Linked DNA regions of Rattus norvegicus. The protein of the gene in region 1 interacts with the protein of each later gene in a pairwise test. Links are inferred from orthologs where the notes say so. Each region holds a gene or a part of one and is shown on either strand. Other genes may lie near its edges.

The links. The genes of interacting proteins can lie anywhere in the genome.
Region 2: the proteins of Lrp1 (region 1) and Mapk8ip1 interact in a two-hybrid assay, tested with the Homo sapiens proteins (2 studies listed by BioGRID). The link is inferred for Rattus norvegicus from reciprocal best matches to the Homo sapiens genes LRP1 and MAPK8IP1.

The regions. Positions count from the first base shown.
Region 1 is NC_086025.1:65,297,044-65,302,345, forward strand, and holds part of Lrp1 (prolow-density lipoprotein receptor-related protein 1 precursor), read right to left. Parts: coding exon 5,188-5,302; intron 4,256-5,187; coding exon 4,051-4,255; intron 3,925-4,050; coding exon 3,760-3,924; intron 3,334-3,759; coding exon 3,089-3,333; intron 2,928-3,088; coding exon 2,796-2,927; intron 2,344-2,795; coding exon 2,116-2,343; intron 1,942-2,115; coding exon 1,767-1,941; intron 1,680-1,766; coding exon 1,585-1,679; intron 1,416-1,584; coding exon 1,266-1,415; intron 1,098-1,265; coding exon 957-1,097; intron 593-956; coding exon 458-592; intron 1-457. UniProt on the Homo sapiens protein: Endocytic receptor involved in endocytosis and in phagocytosis of apoptotic cells. Required for early embryonic development. Involved in cellular lipid homeostasis.
Region 2 is NC_086021.1:98,816,353-98,822,454, reverse strand, and holds the start of Mapk8ip1 (C-Jun-amino-terminal kinase-interacting protein 1), read left to right. Parts: upstream 1-2,757; 5' UTR 2,758-2,974; coding exon 2,975-3,045; intron 3,046-4,056; coding exon 4,057-4,162; intron 4,163-6,102. UniProt on the Homo sapiens protein: The JNK-interacting protein (JIP) group of scaffold proteins selectively mediates JNK signaling by aggregating specific components of the MAPK cascade to form a functional JNK signaling module. Required for JNK activation in response to excitotoxic stress.

The DNA of each region.
Region 1 (5,302 bases):
CATTTCTTGCCTCTTATATAACATGAGCGTCTGTCCCCACTGTGCACATACATAGCTGGGATTTAAGTCAGGGCTCAGGTCATGTTAAGCACACTCTATTGAACCACCAACTTCTTTCTTCAATGTACCAAGTATCACATTCTATGTACTCTATAAACCCATGGCACAGCATGGGGCACGCCTCTTCTGCCAAGCTGGCCTGCCTCTGTCAGTGGGTGACTACCTCACCAAAACCTACTGCAGATACTGGACAGTCAGCAGCACATTGTGATCCAGCTTCTTACTATGCTGGCCCCATTTTCTGGCTCGACCTTTTGTCCACAGTACCCAGAAGGGGGACTGGATAACCATCTAACCCAGAAGCCTCCTGGTAACATGATGTCTTTCTCAAACGCACGATGTAGCAATAGGGTAGAAGGGGTCAAGGTTAGGCAGAGAGGAAATGCCGGGAACTGACCCTCACAGGCCTGCTGTCCGCTCCGGAGGCTGTAACCAGCTGTACACATACAGGAGCGAGTTGTCTCTGATGTTGGCAGGCAGAGCTGGGAGCAGTCTCCATTGTTGACACTGCAGGGGTTGGTGCCCTCATGCTCTGGGGGAGGGCAGTGGACAGAAAAGGGTGAGATGGCCTTTGTGGGGATAGGCTTGGGCTGCTCAGAGAGGACAGTCACTGGATTCACCTTGGACCTGTCAGGGTCCCACCCAACCCAACTCTCAGGACTTATGTCTTCTTAGAAGCCTGGACCTTCTGGCCAGACTGAGTCTACATTTCACACGAGTGGGTATAAGGTGAAAGGAAAAGCCCTGTGGGTGAGGAGTGGAGCTCAGCCTCCCTCTGGCCCGTCACCCCACTATTCTGGAGGCCGCTCATGGGCATGGTTCTGCAGCCTCTCTGCTCCCCCACCCTTTGCTGCTGCAGACCCGCTGTACACCACATCCCTGCACCCACTGCATACCTAGCTGGATGCTCTCATCATACACCTTCATGTGCATAACCAACGTGGTGCTGTTCCGCAGCACCACCGACCCGGAGCCGTCGGCCTTGTTGCATGTGCCCATCTTCTCTGACACCTGATCTGCCCACCACAGCTTGTCCCCTGGGGGCAACAGGAGGGAATAAGACCCTTGGGAAGGTCCCCTGCTCAGCCCTCTTGCAGAAGCCATCAGGCTCCTGGGGTGGAAAGTGGCCCACATGACATGCCTCCCCCCATTCGGCTGTGCCTAGCCTGCTTTACTTCCGTCCTTCTTCCCACCCAAGCCCTCACCCATGATGGCCAGGGCAGTGGCCTTGCCCAGCTGGCTACGCATGGTGTCGATGACCTCCAGCTCACTCCCATCCAGATTGCAACGGTTGATCGTGTGGTTCCCAGAGCTGATCCAGTAGAGTTTGCTCTCAGGGAAGTCAATGGCTAAGCCTAGAAGAGGAATGGGTGTCAGAGCCACGGAGCCATGGTTGTGAGAGTGGGCACCAAGCTGGGAGCTGGAAGAGCCTAGATGGGGGACAAGCATAGGAGACACCAGGAGCAGCTCCTAACTGGGGAGCTAGAGGCCTGGCCTGCAGGAACAAGCAGGGCAAGTGCATACCCACAGGGCCCTTCTGGCCACTGAAGAGCAGAGTCCGGTTGCTCCCATCCATGTTGACCATGCTGATATTGTCCCCGTCCGTCCAGTAGAGCTTGCTGGGAAAAGAACCAAGAAGAGGGTAAGGGTCCTCCTCTTCCCTCCTCACACGGGTGTGCCCCAGCCCCGAGCTACAGTAGACTGACCCACGAAGCGGGTGGACAACCAGGCCGTGGGGCTGCTCCAGGCCCTGCACCACCGCATTCTTGAAGGAGCCATCTAGCCGGGCCACGTTAATCTGCTTCTTGTTGGTGTCATAACTGGTCCAGAACAGATTTCGGGACACCCAGTCCACAGCCAGCCCATGGGCATTTGGCAAGTCTGGGGGCACAAATAAGGAACGGCGGTTGGTATTTACAGGTATAGGCTGAGGAGAGTGTGGTACCTAGGGAACGAGGGTCAAGAAACAGGCTAGGGATAAGGTTTGGAGAAAGAGCATCAGGACCACTGGGGGCATAATTGGCGTAGGCCTTGGGGTGAGGACAGGGCCAGAACCTGCAGAGACAACGGTCTCCACGCCTGTGCCGTTGATGAATGCCCGTTTGATGGCTTGGGTTCGCACGTCAGACCAGTAAACTCGCTGCTCTCGGGCATCATAGTCCAGCACTGTGACATTGTCAATGTCGGGCACCGTGAAGGAGATGATGTAATTGTAGTACGGGGCGTCCAGGTCCACACCCCGGATCTCCATCTGACGTGCGTACAGCAGGAACTTCTTAAACTCTGTGGGATGCAAGCAGGTCACTGAATGCAGTCCCTTGCCTCCAGATTTCCTGCCTACCTAGGTTAGGTCCCTCCCGAGTCCCCACTGTGTGCTGTTGGCCTTCTGCTAAGACAGTGGCCCTTGACCTTCCTAATGCTGTGACCCTTTCTCATGTTGTGACGCCCAACCATAAAATCATTGCCATCGCCACTTCATAACTGTACTTTTGCTACTGTTATGAATAGTAACATGACATGCAGGATATCTGACATGTGACCCCCGGGAAAAGGTCATTTGACCCCCAAAGGGGTCGAGACCCACAGGTTGGGAACCTCTACAAAGGGACAGTGTCAGGTCCCGGCTTCCTTCCTTCGCTGATTTTCAGAGCCCCTCCTTTGCTTAGCAGCAGGGACCTCAGACCTCCACTTCTGCCTCAGTTTACCCTTAGCTGTTAGGGGAGGCGGCTTCCTACCGTAGCAGGTGGTGTTGTCATTGTGGAGTTTCATGAGATGGGGACAAGCACAGGAGACCGTCCGGTTGTAGTTGATGAGGCACAGGTGGGAACAGGGACCCCGGCCCCCATTGGCCTCACATGGGTTTGGAGCTGGTCCGGGGAGAAGAAGCGAGAGCATCCTGTGACGTGTTGATCCTTCCCTGTCCCTTCCCACCTGGCTCTCACCCCAACTCTCATCCGCCCACCCCCACCCCTGTTATCCCAGCGCCCTCCCTGTCCAGGGGCTGGTGGTTCCTCTTCAGTTCCCTTACCCATGGGCTGCCGAGAAGGGTGATACACCTGCAGGTCGAAGGGCTGGGTGTTGGTCCTCTGTACCACAGTGACATTGTGGCCGGTCCACTTGTTGGCCTTAGCCAGTGTGTTTGTTCGCCAGTCAGTCCAGTACACCTCCCCACCATACAGTGTCACGGCAAACGGGTGAGACAGGAACTCATGCCCCCGGAGCACCTCCATGTGGCCGGAGCCGTCATAACGGGCTGAGTAGATAGCATCTGACCTGAGAGTAACAGAGAGAAGTGGGGGTCTCAGCAAGGGACCCTGGTGTACACCTTCCCTCTTCCCAAGCCCTGCCCCGGGGCTAAAGAGAGACGCAGGCTGCACGAGGTGGGGGTGGGGGTAATCCAATGGGTTGGGATCCTAGCCTTATGTTCCCCAAGGGAATCTTCCACATGTCCTTCCCAGGGTTACAGTTGGCATTCAGAGTTCTAGTGTGAGTTAGGAAAAGGCACCTTCTCTTTGTTCTGAGCAGGCAGAGCCCTCAGCAGAGGACACAGGGTGTGAGAAAAGTGGAGGGCAGATGGATGACTGTAGGTTACAACCCTGCTCCTTCTTGGCGCTCCTCCCCACCCTCACCCCCATCCTCCTCTTGGCTTCATCTTTGTTTACGCTGGTCCCACCCCTCCCCTGCCGAGATGCCCCTGACCTGGCATCGATCCAGAGGATGCGCTTCTCCAGGTAGTCCACGGTGAGCCCGTTGGGCCAACCCCCAGAGCCTGTCTCTCGGTGGATGGTTCGGCGCCCGGCCCCACTCATGGATGCTGCTTCAATTCGGGGCAGACTGGCATCCCAATCTGTCCAAAACAGAATCCTAGGGAGGCAGGGAGGGGGGACAAAATTGGGGCGGCAGCACCACAGATGACTGTCGGGGAGTCAACAGTACTGAGAAGACAGGTGTCCCTTGCCAGGCTGAACACAGGACAGGCAGAGTCCTCACCCATCCCGAGGGTCCAGAGCAATTGCCCTTGGGTGCTCAATGTCGCCCGCCAGCAGAGTGGTTCGGAGGGTTCCATCCAGCTTGGCCACCTCGATCTGGTCCAGGTTGCTTTCCACCCAGTAGATGTTGCCTGCTATCCAGTCTACAGCCAGGCCCTCTGGGGTGGCCAAGCCATACTGAATCACCACCTCAAAGCTGGTCAGTGCTAGGAAGAGAAGGTTGAAGGTGGTCAGAGACTCCTGGTGAAGACTTGGTGGAGGCGTGGGTCTTAGGATCCCTCAATTATCAGAATTCACCCTGACACTTCTGCCCAGACTGCTGAAGGGCCTGGCTCCCACTCTCCTCTCCCTTTCCCACTAGGATATGTAGGTGGGGAAGGAGGCTCTTGGAGGAGGGATGAGGGCAGCCACTTTATGTATGCACTGTTCTGAGGGGGTCACCTGAGACACAAGGTCAGGGAGAATGGAAGCCTCTGGGAACATGTTTGAACACACTTATAAGGGCGATGGAACATGCTAGAATTTACCCATAGAATATACACTCTATGCTAATATGTCCCTGTGTCCTATTATTTTCGAAACTGTCATGTGACGAATGACTCAGCTTTTACTCAGCTATTCTCCTGAAGGTGGACATTTGAGATGTTTCCAACTTTCCTCTATAATAAACAGTACAAACTCCTCTATTAAAACATGCCCTCTTCTTGCCTCTGTTCAGGGACCAGCTCTGACACACGATTTAAAACTGTCTTGTTCACTGCTGTGTCCGGTGCTCAGCGTGTAACAGATGATCAATACCGAGCCTGTGATGGCTCGGGCTATCCTGAGACAGAGGTATTCCATTTCTATGTGGCATTTTCCTTCTAAGCCTGAAATTCCAAGACTAGGGAGCCAGGCCTTCGGGCCGTTCAAAGAAAGGGTGATCATTTTGTTAATTATCAGGCTAGCAGCGATGTTGACGATAATTATGGGGCATCAGGCTCTGAGACCCACAGCAAAATCTAACCCAATTAACAGGGGGCGGGGGATGGGCAGCCGAAGCCTCAGCTCCGGGGCCACCTGAATCTGGGCCTGTGACCCTGAGTGTCCAAGTGCCATCTGCATGCAATCCTGGCACCACTCCCAGGCCCAGAGTCACCTCCGTTGTCCAGCAGCTTCCCACGGTAGATCTTGTCCTCTACCACATCGGTCCAGTAGAGGGCACTCTGGCTGAGGTGAAAGTCCAGGGCAATGGTGTTGCGCAGGCCGGGCAC
Region 2 (6,102 bases), on another chromosome or scaffold:
AGCATTACTCAGTGAAGGCTCCATGCTGTGCTTGACCCTCACTTCCTGTGCATGGCCATCTCAGCCTGTATCTTGGCTGAAGGAGTGAAAGAGGAAGTGAGGGAAGCTGGGACTGCTGTGGGGAGGGATGCAAGGACAAGGGAACCAAGGCAGCAAGGCAGTGTGGAAGTGCATGTGAGTACCTGGAGCAGGATTGCTTGGACCATTAGCAGAACCCAGCCCAGGCCAGGCCAGGGTATGGAGTGTGGTGTGTGCTCCAGGTCACAGCCTAAGCAAGGTGTGGCTGGAGACCAACACTTTGAGAGGCTGTGTACTGCAGAAAGACAGACGTCAGAGTCAGGCTGGCCTCCAGGGTCACAGGGCCACCAAATGTGGCTGTGCTATGTGCCTAGCCAACATGGGCAAGTAGGGCTAATGGGCGAAGTGCTTCTGCCCTGGGAAGCTGCCCAAGACCCAACCCCTAGGAAGAAGCTGCCACCCTGCCAGGGCTGCGCAGTTCTCCTGGGTCACCTCCCAGGTCAGGGCTCATACTTCTAAGAAAATGGCTTGGGCGAGGTCAGAAGAACACTCCCCCCCGCCCCCGTCTTCCCAGTGCACGTGCCTACCCTCCAGCTTCCCTGCCTCTTTTCTTCCTTCCCTACAGCTGGTATCTGTGAACACGGAGTTGCAAGTCCCTTTCTTCGGCAAGTGTCTCTTGGTTCTGCCCAGGAGATCTAGACCATGGTGACTAGGGGAGAGTGGGTGGCAGTAGAGGTCAGCCCTTGGCCAGTTCTATCCCCTCCTAGGTAGTGACATCCTCCCTCCTTTGTAACTCACATGCTCCATCTTATCCTGGGGTGGCCAGGAGGAAGGGAACTGAGGTTTACAATACCGATGCCTGAGGCTTAGGGCACCTTATCCATGAGATGGCCCAGAACCCTATTCCAGGGTGGTAAAGAAATGTAGCACATGGCAGCTTGGAAGAAGAGTGAGACACTTCAGGCCTGACATGATGTCATCCCATGATGTCACCCTGCCACCTCAAAGCACCCCAAAGTAAGACTAGGGTAAGAACACCATGGGTTTTAAATGGATGAAGTGTGTCATCCCTGATACTTCGTTCATGAGTGAGTTTGGGAGGGAGAGAAGACAAGAACACGCTCCCTGCCCTCAACGGAGCTAAGAGTTAATAGAAGGCTCCTGACCAGAGCCCAGAGCCCTTCTCACCTTTGCCCCACTAACCTGGTCTGGTCTGGTCTGGCCCCACTCAGTCCTGTTGTTTGGTGGACTGGCTTCTTGGTCCATGCCTAGAGGACATGGATACACAGACACATCCTGTGGCCATGTAGAATCCTTAGACCACTGCAAACCCTTCAGTCTGAGAGGAAGGGTAAGGACTGAGGCTGTCCTGTGGCCCGCACCTAGCAAGTATCTACTGAGCCTAGAGTGTGTACCTGACACCTCACCAGACCTGCCCTCCAGGAGCATCCGGTCTAGATGGGAGTCAGGAAGGGAAAAATACAGATGATGAGGGGGATGTACTCCACCCAGCTTTGTAGTCAGGAAGTGTAGGGCATTTCTTTTTTTCTTTTTTCTTTTTTTTCTCAGAGCTGGGGACCGAACCCAGGGCCTTGCACTTGCTAGGTAAGCGCTCTACCACTGAGCTAAATCCCCAACCCCAGGGTAGGGCATTTCTGATGGATGGGTCAGGAGGGCTTCCTGGAGGAAGGTTTCTCTGAGCACTGTTGGGGCCCAGTACCCACCCTTGGGAGGCAAGGCCCAGCAAACAGTAAACATACAAGGCTGAGTCTCCCCCTTGCAGAGTCCTGGAGGGTTTTTGAGTGAGGAAAGAAAGGATGGTGGTGTCCCTTACTGTCTCATGGCCACAGGAGAGGTCAGAGGGGGAGAGGGGAGACTGAGGCTGGCAGTCAAGGTGGTGTAGTTAATGCAGGAACTGGACCAGGGTTTGGCAATAAGGAGACAGAGGTGTGTGCAGACACCAGTGGAGCTGGGGGCATCCGAGGACACTCCCAGAGAAGATGCCTCGTGGGACCCAGGAACTCAGCCATGCTGTCTGAGTCCCAGACCTTACAGTCAGACTGCACTTAGGGTTAGCCACAGGGCCAAGAGGCCAGACTGAGGAGGGTGCTCTGGCCTCTGGACCAGTCCCCATGTCATTTCAGTACCAGCTAGTAGCCACACCCCCCAGCCTGAGAACCTGCAGCTACCCTTGGGGTCAGAATCTTCCAGGGCAGTTGTCACTAGGGACCTCCATGTTCAGTCAAAGTCACTCCCAAATGACTCCCAATCCTGCGTCCAAACTAGTGGTACCCATTGCTGTCTTCCTGCGCATCCTTCCAGCCAGCACCAATCCCTGAACCAACCGCCCTGGCCCTGGGCTTGCAGAAGCCTCCCAGATGCGGTGTGGAGGCGGAGCCTGTGTCTGTGTGGAATCAGGTGTCCATTCTTGGGGCCCTTCGGGAGCCCCTTCCATCTTCTCATTTGGCACCCTGAGTGTGGCGCTGGCCCTTTAAAGCAGATCGGGGTCTGGCGTTGAGGGAAAAAAATTACCAGATTTCTGCTGTCTGCTTACATGCCTGGCCTTGGGAGGGAAGGGGGGGTCACTCCAGCCCCCAATAGGGGCATTGGAAGGGCAGGTGGAGCCAGTAGCATTGATTGCAGTAACCTGATCCCGCGGGGGAGGCGACGACATCGTTGCGCATCGGGCTGCCAAGGAAGGAAGCTGCCCGCATCTGAGGGTTGGGCCAGGAAGAGTTGGGGCTGGGGCCTGGGTCGGCAGCTGCGGCCTCCTCTCTGGCCCATCTATTTTTAATGAGCTCCCCGGGCTTCTGCAGCCGGCAGAATGCAGAAAGGCAGGCCCAGTCTGTGGAGGCCAGAAGTCCCAGCCCTGCCTTGAGCTCTGGCCCCCCTACCCTTCTGGGCATGAAAGGGCAGCTCTGGAGCCCCGCAGCCCCCTGGCCGGGCAGGGCTCTCCATGCAGCTGGTACTGAAGATGGATTCGAGCCCAGACAATGACAGCTGGTTGGAGGATCAGTGGGAACGCTGGTAGGGTCCTGGGGCCTGGCCTCAGGTGGGGGAAGGGCGAGTTGTCCGGAGGTGCTCTATTGAGCTCAGGGGCCCTGTTCAGACTGAGTGAGGTAGAAGACAGAGGTGCGAGCCTTCTAGGCTTCCCTGGGAGCTGCACCCTGTCCTTCCTCTCCTGGGTGACCTTGGATGAGCTTGTGTACCTCTGCTGTGTGCCTAACCTCCTGGTCTCTGGGAAAAGGCCCAGGCATTCTCTCCAACTCCCCAGATGTCCCATTTATACTAAGCCAGACAGAGTACCAGGGTCAGAGTGAGCCGGTGCAGGGGACAGGTCAGCACCACAGTGGCAATCTCAGTAGTGCATTCCAAGGTAGGCACACAGGGTAGCCTGGGCTCCTGGAAGTCTGTTAGTGGTCTAGTACCAAGTGCTCTCCATGGCCACTCACAAGACCTAGCCTTGGTCTTCCCTGACCCCATTTGTTCAGGGTCCTTATACCAGATGAGATTGTATAGTTGAAGAGATGACACCAAGAATGTTGGCAGGTCCCCCTCACTGTGACCATGGCTCAGTGGCGTATATCTTTGTGGGTGAGAGAAAGGGGCACCTACTGTGCCCTTCTGGTGGCTCCTTGGGTCTTGTTACTGTGGAGTGCAAAGATTTTCCTACTCTGGTACCTCTTGGGGGTTGAAATGGCCTTGGCACTGCCTTGGCCATAAAGGCATTTCTCCAGTAGAACTGAAGGTCTGGACAGTTGGGCCTTCTAGGACTGCCTTCTGGTTGGCAGCCGGATGGAGAACTCCCAGCCGGTGATGCTGGAGAAGCCTGGAGATGCCTCCTCCGCCACCCTAGGTGGAATGCCTTTTGGCTCCAACCCCAAATCCTTCCCCTGCCACTGCGCTGACAGACTGAGTCCTTCATCTGGGAGCTGCTACCTGCCTCCCACGGTCTTCCCCTGAGAAGAGGGAGAGGCCAGCAGGCTTAGTTGGGGCTTAGGGGCCCTGGGTTGTGACTTTGGTTTCTGTCCCCACTAGGCTCACCCATGATATCAGCCTGGAGGAGTTTGAGGATGAAGACCTTTCGGAGATCACTGATGAGTGTGGCATCAGCCTGCAGTGCAAAGACACCTTGTCTCTCCGGGTAAGGGCTGGGTCTGAAGAGTCTGAGTGGCTGGGAGGATGGGCACAAAGATTAGGGAACCCCGCTATTTACAAAGGAGCTTGTGAGTGTGTGTGGCACTCCCGGGAAGTGAAATAACAAGGTAGGAAGCATCTAGTATAATGCTTGACACATCTTGGGTGCTCAATCCAAAATCTCCATTTATTATTTTTGTCAGTACTAAAGCCGGAAGCAGCTTCTTCAGTTGTTCACAGGGAAAGAGAGCAGGGGGCTTGAGATGTAGGACAGTGGCAGTGAGGACCAGAGTGAAGGGAAGGGCCTCTCATGAGCTTCTTGGCAGAGGGCCTGCGACAGTACTGGGTGGAGCCTGGTGGAATCTGCAGTGCTTTGGGGCAGGAAGGAGGAACCCGGGTGCTGCTGGACTAGCTCCTGTGACTGCTCCTGCACCCCCCTGACCACACCGCCAGCATTTTAGGCTTTCAGTGGCCCCTGCTGCATGGTTGGTCCAGTACTGGCATTGCTCAGAGCCCCTTGGCTTTATCCTAGTGACAGGCTCTCTTCTGTATATCTGAGTGCCAAGGTACCCGGGATAGATGGGAATCCCCATCCTGTTGTCAGAACACAGAGCAAGGACTTACCTGCAGGATAGGGAAGGCAACGGCACAGGGCTAAGGATCAGAGGCCAGCACCAGGTGTAGTTGAGTTGCTAGATATGGCATTTCCATGGTGTGAACCAGGGAAGGGCATTTGTCTTAGTGTTGCCCTCCTGGTATCCCTAGCACTTTTACAAACTTCCAGGCAAAGGGAAAGCAAGCTGTGAGGGTGACTTTATGCTTCCCAACTCCTTCACTCTCTTACCAGGCCAGCAAGGATGGAGGCAGAGGCTACTACTTCTGGGTTTAGAGAGTGGTCCCAGAGATGGGTCATACTTGCTTTGAACTTTAAAACCACTGTCTCCCGGGGTTTGGGGATTTAGCTCAGTGGTAGAGCGCTTGCCTAGCAAGCGCAAGGCCCTGAGTTCGGTCCCCAGCTCCGAAAAAAAGAAAAAAGAAAAAAAAAACAAACAAAAAAACCCACTGTCTCCCATATGCAAAGCTTTCAAGAGGGTCTAATGCAATTAGCCAGAACTATCACCTCCCCCTGCCCTGGTAGTAGGCTAACTAGAGTGATCTCCTGGTAGGAGTCTAGTCAAAGTTTCTCTCTCTGTGTCTCTCTGTCTCTCCTCTTTTCTCTCTCTCTCTCTCTCTCTCTCTCTCTCTCTCTCTCTCTCTCTCTCGTCTCTCTGTCTCACTCCTCTCCTCTCTGTCTCTCCTCTCCTCTTCTCTATGTCTCTCTGTCTCTCTCATCTCTGTCTCACTCTCTTCTCTCCTCTCCTCTCCTCTTTCTCTCTCTGTCTCTCTGTCTCGCTCGCTCTCTCCTCTCCTCCTGTCTCTCCCTCCCTCTCTCCCTCCCTGTCTCTCTCTCTCTTTCTCACCTGGAGGACAGCATTATAGGCCTAGTCAACTCTTGAGGGTTGACTAGTCAAAGGATCTGTCCAAGGTGCCAGGAGTTAGAGGCAACAGTGGAAGTAGCATACAGTTCGGGTCTATAAAGGATAGGTTGGCTGAGGGATGTGTTCAGGTCAGAGCTGACTGGGAAGGTCTCCCCTTAAAGTTCCCCTTCGGGTCCAGTCAGGGTCTCCTGCCCGCAGTGCAGTCTTCCTTACCTGGCTGACATGCACTTTCCCCAGTTTGCTTCAATGTCCCCTTCAAATGCCAGTTGTCTCGCTCATGCTCATCCCCATTGGGGACGGAATTCCTGGGCGACCCCTAGGTCTCCATGGCAACAGCGGTGATTTCACTCTGGGCTCGGCTTACAACCCGGGTGAGGTCACTGGCCGTTACCAAGGGAACGGAAGGGTGCAAGGAATCCGGAGGGGGGACCGTGGGAGAAGAGAGGCGTGGGCGGTTCTCTGCGCTGGC